Diceros bicornis minor: one gene and its partner. The protein of the gene in region 1 interacts with the protein of each later gene in a biochemical or structural test. Links are inferred from orthologs where the notes say so. Each region holds a gene or a part of one and is shown in the gene's direction. Other genes may lie near its edges.

The links.
Region 2: the proteins of PJA1 (region 1) and NSMCE3 form a complex in vitro, tested with the Homo sapiens proteins (2 studies listed by BioGRID). The link is inferred for Diceros bicornis minor from reciprocal best matches to the Homo sapiens genes PJA1 and NSMCE3.

Annotation. Positions count from the first base shown.
Region 1 is NC_080781.1:62,653,379-62,661,506, reverse strand, and holds the start of PJA1 (E3 ubiquitin-protein ligase Praja-1), read left to right. Parts: upstream 1-4,863; 5' UTR 4,864-4,947; intron 4,948-6,910; 5' UTR 6,911-7,139; coding exon 7,140-8,128. UniProt on the Homo sapiens protein: Has E2-dependent E3 ubiquitin-protein ligase activity. Ubiquitinates MAGED1 antigen leading to its subsequent degradation by proteasome. May be involved in protein sorting.
Region 2 is NC_080744.1:79,174,435-79,182,846, reverse strand, and holds the start of NSMCE3 (non-structural maintenance of chromosomes element 3 homolog), read left to right. Parts: upstream 1-4,911; 5' UTR 4,912-5,005; coding exon 5,006-5,893; 3' UTR 5,894-8,412. UniProt on the Homo sapiens protein: Component of the SMC5-SMC6 complex, a complex involved in repair of DNA double-strand breaks by homologous recombination. The complex may promote sister chromatid homologous recombination by recruiting the SMC1-SMC3 cohesin complex to double-strand breaks.

The DNA of each region.
Region 1 (8,128 bases):
AATTGAAATCCTAAGAGAGGTGAGAAAATGGAATCATATAAAGTGCTCAATTAAAATCAGAGAAGAGAGAAAAAGAATGGAAGACAAAAAGAGAGAAACAAAGAACAAGGACAATGAATAGGAAACAGTTACAAATACGGTACATATTAATCCAACCATAACAATAATCATTTTAAATGTGAATGGTCTAACTACACCAATTAAAAGGCAGAGACTATCAGAATGGATTTTAAAAAAGACCCAGGGCCGGCCCTGTGGCTTAGCGGTTGAGTGTGCACGCTCCACTACTGGCGGCCCCGGGTTTGGATCCCGGGTGCGCACTGACACACCGCTTCTCCGGCCATGCTGAGGCCGCATCCCACATACAGCAACTAGAAGGATGTGCAACTATAACATACAACTATCCACTGGGGCTTTGGGGAAAAAAAAGGAGGAGGATTGGCAATAGATGTTAGCTCAGAGCCGGTCTTCCTCAGCAAAAAGAGGAGGATTAGCATGGATGTTAGCTCAGGGCTGATCTTCCTCACACACACACACAAAAAAAAATAAAAATAAAAAAAGACCCAACTATATGTTTTCTACAAGAAACCCATTTTAGATATAAAGACACAGATTAAAAGTAAATGGATAGAGGAAGAGATACATGCTAACATTAATAAAAAGAAAGCTGGAGTAGCTATGTTAATTCCAGACAAAGCAGATTTCAGAACAAGGAAAATTATCAGGGATAAATAGGGGCATTACATAATGATAAAAGGGGTCAATTCTCCAAGAAGACGTAACAGTCCTTAATGTGTATGCACCTGACAAAAAGGCATCAAAATACATGAGGCAAAAATGGGTAGGACTACAAGGAAAAATAGATGAATCCACTATTATAGTTGGAGACTTCAACACCCCTCCATCAATAATTGACAAATCCAGCAGGCACAAAATCAGTAAGGCTATGGTTGAACTGAATAGCACCATCAATCACCTGGATCTAATTGATATTTATAGATTACTTCATTCAACAACAGCAGAATACACTTTCTTCTCAAGCTCACATGGAATATTCACCAAGATAGACCACATCCTGGGCCAGAAAATACACCTTAACAAATTTAAAAGAATAGATATTATACAAAGTGTGCTCTCAGACCACAGTGGAATTAAATTAGAAATCAATAACGGAAAGATAGCTGGAAAATTCCCAAATATTTGGAGATTAAACAACACATTTCTAAATAACATATGGGTTAAGAAGAAGTCTTAAGAGAAATTGAAAAAATATTTTGAAATAAGTGAAAATGAAACTATAACAACAAAATTTGTGGGATGCAGTAAAAGCAGTGCTTAGAGGGAAATTTATAACATTGAATACATATATTAGAAAAGAAGAAGGATCTAAAATCAATAATCTAAGCTTCCACCTTAGGAAACTAGAAAAAGAAAAGCAAATTAAATCCAAAGTGAGCAGAGGAAAATAACAAAAGAACAGAAATAAATGAAATTGAAAACAGAACAATAGAGAATATCAACAAAACCAAAAGCTGATTCTTTGAAAAGATCAATAAGATTGGTAAGTCTTTAGCCAGGCTCACCACGAAAAAAAGAGAGTAGAGCCAGCCCTGATGCTCTAGTGGTTAAAGTTTGGTGCTCTTACTGCTTTGGCAGCCCAGGTTTATTTCCTGGTAGTGGAACCACACCACCCGTCTATCAGTTGCCATGCTGTGGCAGGGGCTCACATTGAAGAACTAGAATGACTTACAACTAGGATATACAACTGTGCTCTAGGGCTTTGGGGAGGAAAATAAAAGAGGAAGATTGGCAACAGATGTTAGCTCAGGGTGAATCTTTCCCTGCCAAAAAAAAAAAAAAAAGATACTGCCCCTACTTAAAAAAAGAAAAAGAAAAAGAAAAGAAAAAAGAGAATAGACAAAATTACGAATAACAGAAATGAAAGAGGAGCCATTACTACTGATCTCACGGACATCAAAAGGATAATAAAGACATATTATGACCAACTCCATGCCTACAAATTTGATAACTTAGATGAAATGGACAAATTCTGTGGCTCGCTTTCAACGACTAGGATATGGCAAAAGTGTTGGGATGTCACTTCTGAGCTTAAGTCATAAAAGGACTATGTCTTCCATCTTAGGTGCTCTTTGGCTGTTTCTCTCACCGACTGCCATGTTGTGAGGAGACTCAGGAAGCCCGTGGATAGGCCCACATGACAAGGAATTGAAGCCTGACAGCAACCACATGAGTGAGCTTGCAAGTGGATTTTCTGAGCCTGCCAACAGCCAAGTAAAAGAGCTTTGATGTGGACCTCACTCCTCAATTAAGCCTGCAAATGAAACTGCAGCCCCAGATGACAGTTGGAGTGCAACTTCATGAGAGACTTCGAACCAGAGGCACCCAGGTAAGCCGTGCATAGATTCCTAACCCACAGAAACTCTGATGTAATAAATCTTTGTTTTTTTAAGCTGCTAAGTTTTGGGGCAATTTGTTACACAGCAATAGATAACTACTATATACCCTTTGACCCAGAAACTTCACTTCAATGTACATACACTAGAGCAATTTTTTCCAATCTTTTTCACGTCAGAGCATATGTTAAAATGCTAATAATTGTGCCAGTTCATTGGGATGAACAGACAGTCTGCTCTTAGCCAGAGGCAACAGTCCCCAGGGCAGCAGCTGAGTGAAGCCAGGCCCATCTTCCTGGAGAGCTAAGGGCATTGATATGTCAGAATACCCATTACCCAGTTGGGAAGGTTTGCCCCAGAGAAACTCATCCATATGGGCACGAGGAGCCATGTGCTAGGATGTTCATTAAATCCTCATTTATAATTGCACAAAACAGAAACAACCCAAGTCTATCAGCAGGGAAAGAGATAAAGAAATTGGATAATTGATGCAACAGATGTCCATATAATATATTATAGTAATACTATATTGGAAAATTAATACAATAGTATTCAGCAGTTAAAATGCATGACCTAGATCTAAATGTATCAAATTGCTAAATTTCAAAAAAAATAAGTGAAAATTTAAGTTGCAAAAGAATGTATTTATTATAATAACATTTAAATAATTTAAAATACATAAAAGAATAATGTGTATTGGTTATGGATATATACATATGTAGAAAAAGAAAAACACGGACAAGAAGGAAACTTCTAAACAGTGCTTCTTTTGGGAAAAGAAGATGAATAGAATAAAGTGAGAGCTTCAACTCTAATATTTTGTTTCAAAAACAGAAGGATCTGAGGATCTGAAGAAAATAAAATTTGCTCACCCTGTGTGACAGGTACATGCAAATATGCATTTTATACTCTGTACTTTTCTGTATGTTTGAAATATTTTTTATAAAAAAATACATCATTTCTTGAGTCCAAAAAATATGTATACATTAGATCAGGCTTGTTCAGTGTGTTGTTCAATCTCTCTATATCCTCGTTTCTTTGCAGTCTATGTGATCTATCTATACCATAACAAGTGCGGTTGAATCTCTCACGATAATTGCAGACTTTTTCATCTCTCTTTACATTTCTAATAATATTTGCCTCATTTATTTTGAAATTACATTGTTTGGCATATAAATTTTAGTGACTATATCTTCTCAGTGAATGAAACAACCTGTTTTGTTCTCTTTAATGCTTTTTACTTTGAGTTTTTGATTTTTCTGATATTAATATTTCTACATGTATCTTTCCTTTCTTCCTTCTTTCCTTCTCTTTTTTTTCCCTAAATTCCTTCCTTCTCCTCTCTCCCTCCCTCCTTTCCTCCCTTTCTTCTTTTCTTCCTTCCTTCCCGCTAGTATTTCACTGGCATATATTTTCTATTCCTATTTCTGCTTTAGGTGAAACTCATATAAACAGCATATAACTGGATTTCTAAAAACGAAATGCTCAAAATGAGAGTTTGCTTTTTTATAGGAGATATTAACCCATAATACATACTGATGTATTTGCATTTATTCCTGCCCTTTGTTTTTTATTTTTTAACATCCTTTCTTGCTGCCTCCCACCCCATTTCTACCCTTTGTTAGACTGAGTTTTTCTCTTTGTTCTACATATTATTTCTTTAATGGTTTGAAAGTTATACAGCCTATTTCTATTCTATTGTTACCCTTAAAATTTCTTGTTCTTCTATTTTACATTTTATTTCCAGTCAGAACAAAACTTTGTTATTGTTGTGAACATAGATGTCTTGACATTCAATGTAAATATTAGAGATAACATTGTAAAGTGCGATTTATAAAAAAGAGTTCAGAGTTTAAGAAAATTGTATAACTCTAAAAGGCACAGCAATTCAATGACCAGAATGTGAACCCGTGTGTGCTTCATGATCGATCATTTCTTTTCATTTCAGTCAAGAAACTTGATTTTGCGATTAACAGCAACAATTCTACTGTAAACAGTTCAATTTGCTTCAACCACCAGGTTAAAAAAATTTAAGCTTACTGCAACCCTAAATACAGTTTCACATTTTTAATACTTCCAGTACAAGCCATACCACATAACATAGGATATGATATAGTCATATAATTACTTTCACATTGGAATTAATCAGAAAGAATTGCAGATTTCATTTTACTGGAAAAAAAAAAACCGAGAACAGAAGGGAATATGGCTAAATGTTTAACATTTGTTAAAGCTGGCTGTTGGTTACATTTTTCGCTGTCCTTTTCTGTATCCTTGACGATTTCATCATTTAAAATGAAATAATGCTTTCGGGCCCTCCTTGATTTGTCGAGAGCGGCTGCCACCCCCGCCACATCAAGGGGGCGGGCCCCAGCCGACGCCACAACCACTTCCGCCGCCGCAGTCGCCGCCCGCCCCACTGCTGTCTGGCGGGGGAGGAGCTGGAGACCCGGGAGCAGCGGCTCTGGCGGTCGTGGCGGTCGGAGGTCTGAGAGCTCTGTTCCTCTCGAGAGCGTACGGGGGTCGGGACTGGGTGAGTGAAAGGCGGTTTCTTTCCTCGATTTATTCAGACGCGGCAGTGGGACGACTGGCCGGGCATGGGCGGGTGGCTGGGCACGGAGGCGAGAATTGTGGGGGGCTCTATAGGACAGATTTTCAGGCTCGCCCCTCGGGAAGGGGTGGGGCGGACGCGGGACCTGACTGCAGAGTGAGGCCTGTGTCCTCCATTGGCCTGTTTTGGGGCTCCATCCTCCGTCCTCCAGCCCCTTTCGTGTGGCACGGCCCCCACTTGAATGGCTTTAATCGCTATATGAGAGGGGAGTGGTGTCACGGCCCTCTCCCACCTCTCTCTGCCTCTCCTCCCCCCCTTCCTTCCTCCCTTCTTGGCCCCTTTGCGCAGCACTCCGTGGCCTTTCTTCCCCCATTTTGCAGTTGTTTTGCTGAATGGTAAATTGTTAAGATTTTTAGGTAAATATATTGTTCCCAGGAAAAGAATTGGCAGAAAAACAAATTATTCCCCCGGGAAAACTATATCCACATACGCCCTTTTCTTTCTTTTTTCCCCTTCCCTGTCATATCTGTTTGGTTTGGATCTACCGTTTGGACTGATAACATTTTCCTGTCTCTCACTATGACATTGTGCCGCCCCCACCCCCATGTCTCCAAGTGCGCACATGGGGACACACACACACATGCACGCGTATACACACACATACACACATGCACACACACAGACGCACAGAAACCTTCCATTGCAGCCCCCTCTCCATCTCCCCATACTCAAGGTTGCGATGCATCCCCTCCCCCGCGCATGCATGGACACACACACGCACACACACCCTTTCACACATTGTCATACCGTCCAGTGCCTTTCCCTACCTCTCACTTCCTGTCCCATACACACTTCCAGAAGCGGCCCCCTCCTCCTTCTGCCTCTTCATGCTCTGGAGAACACACACACACACACACACACTCACACACTCACCCTCCCTCTGGGACCATCTTATCCCCTGCCTGCCACATACACACATAAGGATATCCTTCAATTGCTGGCTCCTCTTTCATATGCTGCTTACATACATATGCCCCCACACACACTTGTTCACACACCCCTCTTAAATGCTCCCCTCTCCTGTTCCCTGTCTGCTACTTGTATGCACAGACAGCCCTCCTTTGCTGGCCCCTGTGGTGCACACACTCACATAAATCCTTTTCCAGGGACGCCACCCCCTTCCCTGCTAGCCACATTCATGCATACAGACCTTCTTTGATTGCTGGCCCCTGTTCCGCCTGCCCGCCACAAGCACATCCCTCTCCAGTGCTGTCCTCATCGATGCATTTGCTCATATTGACATTTCTCCATTGTTGCCTCCCATTTTGATGAACACACACACAAACTCATGGACGTCCCTGTCCAATGCCACCGTACCCTTCCTTGCCTGCCACAGATGCATAAGCACAGGCATCCCTGCATAGAGTTCCAGCTGCCATACATACAACACCACACACACATTCTCTCTCTCATACTCACACACACCTCTCTCCTCTAAAGCCACCCCATCCACACCTGTCATTTTCATACATTCAGAATGGGTCTCATTCTGACACTCACACCTCTTCCCAATGTCACTGTCACATGCTCCTTCCCCCTACAAACACAGACATCTCTCCACTGCATGATTGCTGGTCCCCCTTCCACCTGCTTCTCTCCTCCTGCTAGACACATAGGCACTCCTGCACACATGGTGATCTATATTTTCCACCCTTTTCCAATTTGCATTTCTCCTGTATGTCTGCAGGGCTCCAAAAAACGCAGACACCCCGTAAAAAACCTGCAGCAGCCTTTCTTCTTCCCATGTTGGCACAATTCCACAGTACTTCACCCCCCTTCCAAGCATCCAGTCACCCCCCGTCTTCTGTCAGATTCTCCTCTAAGTGTGGCTTTCCTGCAAATCCAGTTTTGTAATCATTTTGCCAACATTAAAAATGTGTTCCAGGTCTACACCTGACAGTCACTGGAATGCTACTCCAGGCCTTAGAAGAAAGTGAAACTAATTTAAAAGGCCCCTTATTCTTTCTGTTACCTGCCTGCTGAAGTGAAAGTAAATCTCCCTGCTCCTTTATTCTGAACTGATTTGACTTTCCCATCTCCAAAGTGTGTACAGGGAGCAGGAGCCTTTCCACTCGAGCCCCAAGCTGTATTGGAAACCCTCCTAAGTCAGAGCAATGGGTCAGGAATCTAGCAAGCCTGTATGGCCCAAGCCAGCAGGAGGGTATCAGTCCAACACAGGCAGGAGGTATGGAAGGAGGCATGCTTATGTCAGTTTCAGGCCGTCCACGAGCCAGCAGGAAAGAATTTCCAGTCAGAGAAAGACGACATCTGAAGTCTCAATGCACAGATCAGCCCCCAGTCAAACCACCAAGAGGAGCCGCTCGCCATTTTCCACCACTCGTCGTAGTTGGGACGACAGTGAGAGCTCGGGAACCAGCCTGAATGTTGACAATGAGGACTACACCAGGTACCCGCCACGCGAGTACAGGGCTTCGGGTAGCAGAAGAGGAATGGCTTATGGACATGTTGACTCTTTCGGGGCAGATGATAGTGAGGAGGAGGGGGCTGGGCCTGTTGAGCGAGCACCAGTGAGAGGGAAAACTGGCAAGTTTAAAGATGATAAGCTGTATGACCCAGAGAAAGGGGTGAGGTCTCTGACTGGGGTGCCCCCACAGTTCTCTAGTTTTAACCGTGATGTGAGAGAGGAGCTTGACAAGTTAGACCCAGCCCCTGCAGCAAGATGCTCTGCTAGCCGAGCTGAGTTTCTGCAGCAAAATAGCATGGTCTCTCAGACACCTGCTGATGAAGGCAAAGTGGCTACAAATGGTAATAGCCTGGAGCGGGAGAGACAGGAGCAGAATTTGCCTGCACGTCCGGGCAGGGCTCCTGTGAGTATTTGTGGTGGTGGGGAAAACACCCCAAAGGGTGCAGAGGAACCAGTGGTGAGGCCCAAAATCAGAAATCTGGCAAGTCCAAACTGTGTGAAACCAAAAATGTTTTTTGATACTGATGATGATGATGATATGCCACACAGTACTTCCAGGTGGAGGGATACTGCCAACACTGATGACGGCCACTCGGATAGCCTAGCCAAAAGAGGCAGAGGCGAGAGTTCAAGTGGCTACTCTGAGCCTAAGTACCCTGAAGACAAGAGGGAAGCCAG
Region 2 (8,412 bases), on another chromosome or scaffold:
TTATTCTTATCCCTTTCAATTTGTTCAGTTTTCTCAAAAACTGTCTGCCTTCAGTATTTTCATATTTTTCTCTGATTCTTTTCTTTTATTCTTATCCCTTTCAATTTGCTCAGTTTTCTCAAAACCTGTCTGCCTTGTCCCTCTCTGGGTATTAGCTTTGTCTGTTCTCCTTCTTGGTGCCCTTGCCCTGTGAGGGTACCTCTGCGTTAGGCTAAAGTGAAGTCTAGAAGGAAAGAATGAGGTTTCTGTCTTCTTGCATGGTGTGGCCAGTGGGGAGATGCTTTGGATCAAACATGGAGAACACAGCTACTCTAGAATAGGAGATGCTTTAAAGTGTGTTCTAGGTTGTCTGAAACTCCTTTCTGCAGAGGTAGATCACTACGTTAGATCATATGTACATTCTATATGGAAAAACAATCTGTCACGATCTCTTTCTTGCCCTTATTGCCTGCAACTAAAATCGTAAACTTCTCAACCACAGAACACTGCCAAGAAACATAACAAAAATGTCAAATTAGATTCAGATCACCTCTCGTTACATTCAAATATCCTTATAGGTAATATTAACCTCGTCTAGCTCCATTCCTTTGAAATAATCTCATTCCTTCGTACCCTCTTTTCCCCTGCATAATGGGTTTGAATACTGTTTAGCTAGAATTTGTGCAGTTTCAAGTGAGAGAAAACAACTTCCAGCAGATAAAGCAAAAGGAGATTTTACTTGCTCCAGTAACTAGTTATCCCCAGGAGTTCTACCTTGAACTCAGGATCCAGGGATTCAGATGAAAGCATTAGGACTGTATCCCCATCTCTTAGAGCTCGTTTGAGTTGGCTTCACCGTGAGGCAGGTTATTCCCAAGCAAAGGCGAAGGTGGCTAGGCTCATATCACCCTTCAGCTTGTTCGCTCAGAGGAAAGAGAACCTGTAAGAACTCCTGAAAGGATGATGATTGGACTTCCGAACCGGTCACTGTGGCTGGCCTGAATCACGTGCACCCAGGAAAAGGCGGCAGAGCCTTACCAAGGTCTCCCAGAGATGGAAAGAGGCAGTTCCTAAAGGAAAAGGATGCAGAACAAGGAGCAAAAACAAGCAAATAAAAAGAAACACACTGGCCACTACAGAGACGTTATGTGTTGGTAATTTTATAACTTAATAGGCCTTAATGATTTTCATAAGTAAAAGGCCCTGGGTAACGGAAGACTTATATTTCTTGAAAAGAGAGTCTAAGAAGAGGCTTCTGGACCAAATGGCTACAATGCTTGGAAAGAGCTATCTCCTCAAGCCCCACCTCTCCACCCCTTTTCCACCAGCCAAGGAAAGCTCTGTTGCCATTTAATCAAAGTATTCTTTCATGAGAGACTAAGTGTTATTAGGTAGTCCTATCACATAATTTAACCAGGATGCATCTTTGTTATGTATGAGTGGACACAAGGGATTTTATTGCAAGCATTAAAATATCTGGACTGTTTTTCCTGCTATCTACCCACCAAAATAGTATCCCGGGCCCCTCGCCAACTACTTTGCTCGCCTGCTGCACACTGTCCCACATTCTTCCACTGGAAAAGGCAGCAAAGCTGCTCATATATGGTGGCTGCATGCTTTTATCATTGCTTTTCTTCCCGCAACGACCTTACCTGCTTTTTGCGCTAGGTTGCTGTCAGAAAATTTAAAACCTGTCTCTGGTTCTGCAAGAAATGCCAGTGAATGAAGAGGAGAATCCAGTAGAAGATAAAGATGATTAGAGCTTCTTGGCAGGCATTTGCTACCAAGGAGATGAAATAAAGCAATTAATTACTGAGAGACATCTAAAGAGCAATTGGTAGTAGGCATTTCTTTGTTCAATGCATCTGAAATCTTAGCTAGCTTAGCTTTTGCCTCAAAGAATTATTATTTTTTTTTCTTTTGGGTCTAGTAATAAAAGTATTAAGGTCATTAACATAAAGTGTTTGAAAATGTTTTTCTTTTTTTAGCCACTTGTCTTTATTACTTCACTGGCTGAAAAAAAGTCACGAAAGTCATATTCAGATCACACTGAATTTACTGAAAACTTGAATTGTATAACTGCTATAGCATGGTTTCACTGTGAAGTTAAAATTCCTTGAGAATATATTTTTATCTGCCAAGAAAGATTTCATTTTTGAAAGAAAATAACTTTAATAGCATCTTGATATATTTCTTTCCAGACTTTTTTCTGATTTTTGTGTGTACTTGTGTTTTACTGCAGTAAACATCTTTCTACATACAGCTTTGTATAGTCCTCAAGTATTTTCCTTAACATAAACCCCCTGGAAAGAAGCACATGGTTATCAACTACCCTGTCCCAGCCCTGTGCTAGGACTTGGCAAACCTATCTCACTTAGTCCCCTGAAGCCTGGATGAGTAATCTTGGAAACAGAAAGCAGTGTCAGTAGCTTTCTGGATGTCATACAGGTTTCTAATATAGGTCCATCTGACTCCCAGATCTTTACCTTTTCAAGGACACCATATCTACCTTTTCAAGGACACCATATCTATGTTCTCTCTGCAATCAGCAGATGGTTAGGAGCGGTCTCTGGAGGCAGACTGCCTTAGTTCAGATCAGATCTACCACTTACTTGCTGTAGGACCTCAAAACTGTTAACCTTCTTCTCTGTGCCTCAGTTTCTTCATTTATGAGAAGAGAAACAGTAAATGCACAGGCCTCATAGGGTTGTTGTGGGATTAAATGAAGTAATACATGAAGACCACTTAGAATAGGGTCTGACCCACTTACCTTTGAAATAATCAGTAGCTGTTGTTTATATTTATTATTGTTAGTGTTATTATTACCACCATCATCACAACAATTTTTCCTCAAACTCCATGGCTTCCTGTGTCAATCTAAGGTGGAGGTGGGTCTGGGTGACTTCTCCATGCAATGCCTAAACTTCATTCTAATACTGTTATTTTATGTCTGTATTTTCTCACCTGCATTCTTCTGGACACAGCAGAGAGAGGTGTTTCAATACGTAAAACTGGTATCTTTTCTCACTCATTTTGAGTATGACAATCTGCTATCTGGGTAAAAGATGCAGCTGATGGACACTGCTGATTTTCACACAGTGAGTCACAGGGGTAGCTTGACCTGTGGGGCTACTTGGTAATTTAAGTGAATACCTTAGCAAGAAAAAACACTGAAAAACCAGCCCAACTGTTGACAATGGCTTTCATCTTATTTTCCATTTTTGTTATCTCTTGGTTGCTGAGTTTTTTTTTTACTCGGGGTTCAACATTATCTTTCTGGAGGGACTTTTTGCAGAATTCTTGATCACAGGAGGTTTCTTTGAACTTGAGTCCAAATTTTAATTTGCAAGGAAACTGAAGCAGATGAATTTTCTTATTGTAAAAAAATGAATGCCTCCATGATATATTTGTTTTTCTTAGTAGGCTTCAGTCATTAAGATTGATGCTTGGGGATTTATTGTTAGATCTTGTGTGGAACAGAAAGTTATTACTCATAGTTTACCAGATTTTAGCATACTTGCATCACAACACGGCATATCATTTTACATTTAGTATTGCAGTCAGGGCCATTATCAGATTGCATTTTCATATTGAATTACAAACAAAAATTTTATGCTACTAACATTTAATGAAATTTTAATAACATTGTGTTTTGGTGCTATTATTCAAATAATGTGTTTTGAATTGCTTCCTTTGAATATATTTGCATTAAAGAGGAACTCAATTTGATTTGGTTCTTTGAAGAGTTTACCCACTTTCTGGGTAGCTTTAAAAAGACAGAGGGAAATTCAGTTTCTTCTTTACAAGTCAGTAAATAGAAAAGCAACACATTTGCTAAGATCTGTAAAAATAGTGGCAGCAGATTGCAGATGGTTTGAGTTAATGAAATGACTCACGTTGGCTATTAGAGTTGCACAATAAAAAATATATATACAAAGTGCACACATCACAGATTATGAGGGATGATACTCCTGGGTTCTCTTTTCTTTCTCATTGCGCCCTAAGGCTGATATATTAAGAATTAAGAAATTTAAGAGATTCACATTATTGCAATTCTTGATCAGTGATGCCCAAAATTAAATGGTAATCTCTTGAGAGAGCACATTTCTGTTTGTAGCATTCTTCTTACCCATTTCTGCTACAATCGTAGTTGTGGGCCCAAAGGCAGTTTACATGAGCATGTGCTTTCCAAAGACAGAATCATTTGACCAAGCAAAAACCCCTCACTGAAACGTTCTTTATGTGGCGGTTTTGTTGTAGTTGTCTAACTGATGGAGTTTAATGCATAGAATAGAAATACTGAAAGAGTGAAAAGATGGGAAAAGTCCTGCTTGCAAGGCAAGCTCTCCCTTTACCACATTCGTTTTTAATGGTCACTTAGAGGCATTAGAGAAAGTAACTGGTGGTAAACGCTTAAGAGCTTAAATTTAAGGGAGGGGAGGGAGTAGCGAAGGCAAAGCCAACTAGGAGTCCTCCAGGTCTTTCACTCTTTTTATGTCCAGTTTTGTGCAGAAAGAAATGATTCTGCTTCACTTTCACGCTCTCACCTTCCTCTTCACCTTTTTTCTCCCACAATTCATCCTGAGTTCCCTCCATCTAAAAATATTCCCGATTTTAAACTTCTTTAATACTCACTTTCTATAGTACCTGCCTGAGCCTGTGCGGTCCTGAACTCAGCCGCACACTCATTTAGGAGTTTTGGCTCCTGTTCTCTATTTGTAGGGTTTAGTAAGGACGCCACCTTTAATCTAATGTGACCCACAGGACTGCGCAGACACGCCTACTGCTTTCCGCCAACGCGCGGCGGCCGCCCCACTCCCCGACGCAACGCGTAGCCTCCGTGACGCAGCGCGCAGCCTCCGTGACGCAGCGCGCGCCCCCTCCGGCCCCGCCCAGGGCCGCCCCGACGTGCCGCGCGCCGACCCACAATCCCCGCCGTGCACTGTTCTCCCGCCGCCACCGTCCGTTAGGGCGAGCGCCCCGCCTGCGGAGTCGGCGCTGGCGCCAGGCTCCCGCCGCCGGTGACATGCTGCAGAAACCGAGGAGCCGGGGCCGCCCCAGCGCCCAGGCCGAGAGGGTGAGGGACGGGGGCCGCGGCGGAGACGGCCGGGCCCCGAGAGGCGGCGTCGCCGAGGAGGCCCCGAGCACCTCCCGCGGGGCGGGCGGCTCGCAGGAAGTCCGCAGCACCTCGTCGCAGGGCGCCCGCGGGGCCGAGGCCTCCCCCGCGGTGGGGCCCCGCTCGCAGAAGCAGCTGGAGCTGAAGGTGGCCGAGCTGGTGCAGTTCCTGCTGATTAAGGACCAGAAGAAGATCCCGATCAAGCGGACGGACATCCTGAAGCACGTCGTCGGGGACTACAAGGACATCTTCGCGGACCTCCTGAAACTGGCCGCGCAGCGCCTCGAGTACGTCTTCGGGTACAAGCTGGTGGAGCTGGAACCCAAGAGCAACTCCTACATCCTCATCAACACGCTGGAACCCGTGGAGGAGGATGCCGAGGTGAGAGGCGACCAGGGCACGCCCACCACCGGCCTGCTGATGATTGTGCTGGGGCTCATCTTCATGAAGGGCAACACCATCAAGGAGACCGAGGTCTGGGACTTCCTGCGTCGTCTAGGGGTGTACCCCACAAAGAAGCATTTGATTTTTGGGGACCCAAAGAAACTCATTACTGAAGACTTTGTGCGGCAGCGTTACCTGGAGTACCGGCGGATACCCCACACTGATCCTGTGGACTATGAATTCCAGTGGGGCCCGCGAACCAACCTGGAGACCAGCAAGATGAAAGTTCTTAAGTTTGTGGCCAAAGTCCATAATCAAGACCCCAGGGACTGGCCAGCGCAGTACTGTGAGGCTCTGGCAGATGAGGAGGCCAGGGCCAGGCCTGGGACCGGTGGCCCAGCCCCCTCCTCTTGAAATCTGAAATAGATTCACGGGGACTCCTGGGGGAAGGGTCAGAGGCACAGTGCGGAGGCCTGAGAGTTGGGGAGGGGGAGCATATTTCTCTAACGCTTAAATGTGTGTAGCTTTACGATGTGTTTGCAAACTTTTGTTCATATTGTAAATTATTTGGTTCCAAATTTTCACTTATAAAAATATTAGGGGAGGATTCATTTTGTTTTGATTTGTTTGACTGACTGTATTTTTTGGTATAAAAATTTTGCTAGCTTTATAAAATTAATTGGGAAACTTTGTACCATGATCTGGAACAGATATTTAAGAAAGAACACATCAGTAAATTGCTTTGGTGTCTAGAAAATAAAAGCGAAGTGGCTATTATCTGGCCTCTTAACTACCAACTACCCCAGTTTGTAAAGAAAAATAAAAATCTTTATAAATTAAAAATAAAGATGTAATTGCCTATATTCTTTTTTATCTTAGCATAGCTATTTTATATTTATGTACTTTATACGTATATATAAGCATTATGCCTTGTTCTAAGCAATGTATGGCATTTTCTCTGAATAACAATTTTTTTACATTCATAATTACTACTCAGCTCTGTGGCTGACTGTTTATTTCCATTTAGGTTTTTTTCTACTATAGTTACAGTAAATACTATATCTTTGAGGTAGTTAAGCATTCTGCATCTTTTAAATTGTGAGTCATGAGAAATTAGTTTCAGGATTCAAAACCAGCGTCTTGAAAAAAATGATTTTTGCCATGTATTATTAAGCTAAATAGTGTTTTATAGAAGTTACCTTACTTTTATATGTGTGTGTGCATATTGGATCATGATGTAAAATATATTTCTTACTTTGGGTTATAAAAAAGTTGAGAAAACTTTTATTGATTAATCATGCCTACTTGGAAATGAGACCACCTGGGTTCAGACCCTGGCCCCACGTAACTAGCTATATGAATTTTGGCGCGTTACTTAACTTGCATACAGACGTTTCCTCACCTGTAAAATGGGCTGATGATGCCTGTATTATGTGTAGTACTGTGATTATTAGATATGGAAGTATATGTAAAGTTCTTGGCACAGTGCCTGCTGTGGAGGATTTTAGGTGTTACTTTGTTCCTTAAAATTTTTTTAAATTTGTTTTTTATTCTCCTTGATCTGGAGTAGTTAATTTTGTTAAAGGATTTCTTTCATTATGTTGTTGTAAATCATTCCTACAATTGGAATTACTGGTTCAAAAATTATGACAATATTCTTCTAGTCTGCCTCTATTGTATGGGTTAATGGGGAAACATAACTCATGATACATGGTGAGTATAGCCCACATAAAATAGTAAGAGCAGGAAAGTTAGAGGACGATCTCCCCTGGGCTTTGAGAGGTCCTTGTAGTACAGTGAATAGGATACGGTTTTTGGGGTTGTCTGACAAACTGAATTATGGCTCAGAAATATGGCTATGTCAGCATGGTGATTTGGGGTAGGTTTTAAGCTCTCTGAATCTCAATTTCTTTATCTGTAAAATGGGAAAAATAATAACTATATGATAGTTTGTTATATGGATTAAATGAGCCCAAAGAAAAGAGCTTATTGTCTTCTCTCGTATTCTTCCACAGCCTCTGGCAAAATGCTGTTTATATACAGAGTTTCAACAAATAATTATTCAGTGGGTGAGTAAGTATAATTGTTTGGGGGGCAGGTACTGCAAATTAACCATGAAATGAGGTAAATACTTTAGCTCAAAAAAGAAGTGTGGACTTGGTCAACACTGGACTAGATGTCATCTAGAAGAGTCTATGGTGGGTGTGTGGTCCATGGAGGAATGTGATAGGTTACTGGGTTTTACGTCATTCTGTTGAATTGAAATTTGCATTTATTTCATCACTGGAGTATAGTGTGTCCTTGAATGTGTTTCTGGTTTGCTTTTTATTTCCACATATAAATTACCTTCTGGCTAAGCATCCTGCTTACTGGTCCCCTTACCTCACTGACTGCTTTTCCCTCTGGTGTGTTCTAATACTGGCCTTTTTTGCATCTGTATGGTGAAAGTTATCGGTACCCCGCACCCATTATCAGTTACATCTGAGGCACATATCTTCTGCCACACTTTTCTCATAAATATGTTAACAATTTACCATCAATGAATTATTACTTTGTTTTAGATTTTAAAATATAAAACATTACAGACCAGATCTTGCCCTTATCTTTTCTTCTCACCCTTACCAGAGATGTCGAAAGTTTGTGAATATCGTGCTATTGTATGATTTAATAACTTTTACTGTGTACCTGAACAATATAGAGTAGTGGTTTCTGAGCTTTTATAACTTATATAAGTAGTAGTATACCGTATCCTTTTGCAACTTGCTGTTTTCACTCACCATTGTTTTTGAGATTCAGCTCCGTAGATCTTATGAAAATTTGGCCTTTCCAGTCATTCTCTGGGTATGTAGTGATAATTTATTGTAGTATTAACTTGCACCTCTTGCTTACTAGAGACATTAAGCATCTTTTGCTTTTTTTTTTTTTGCCATCAG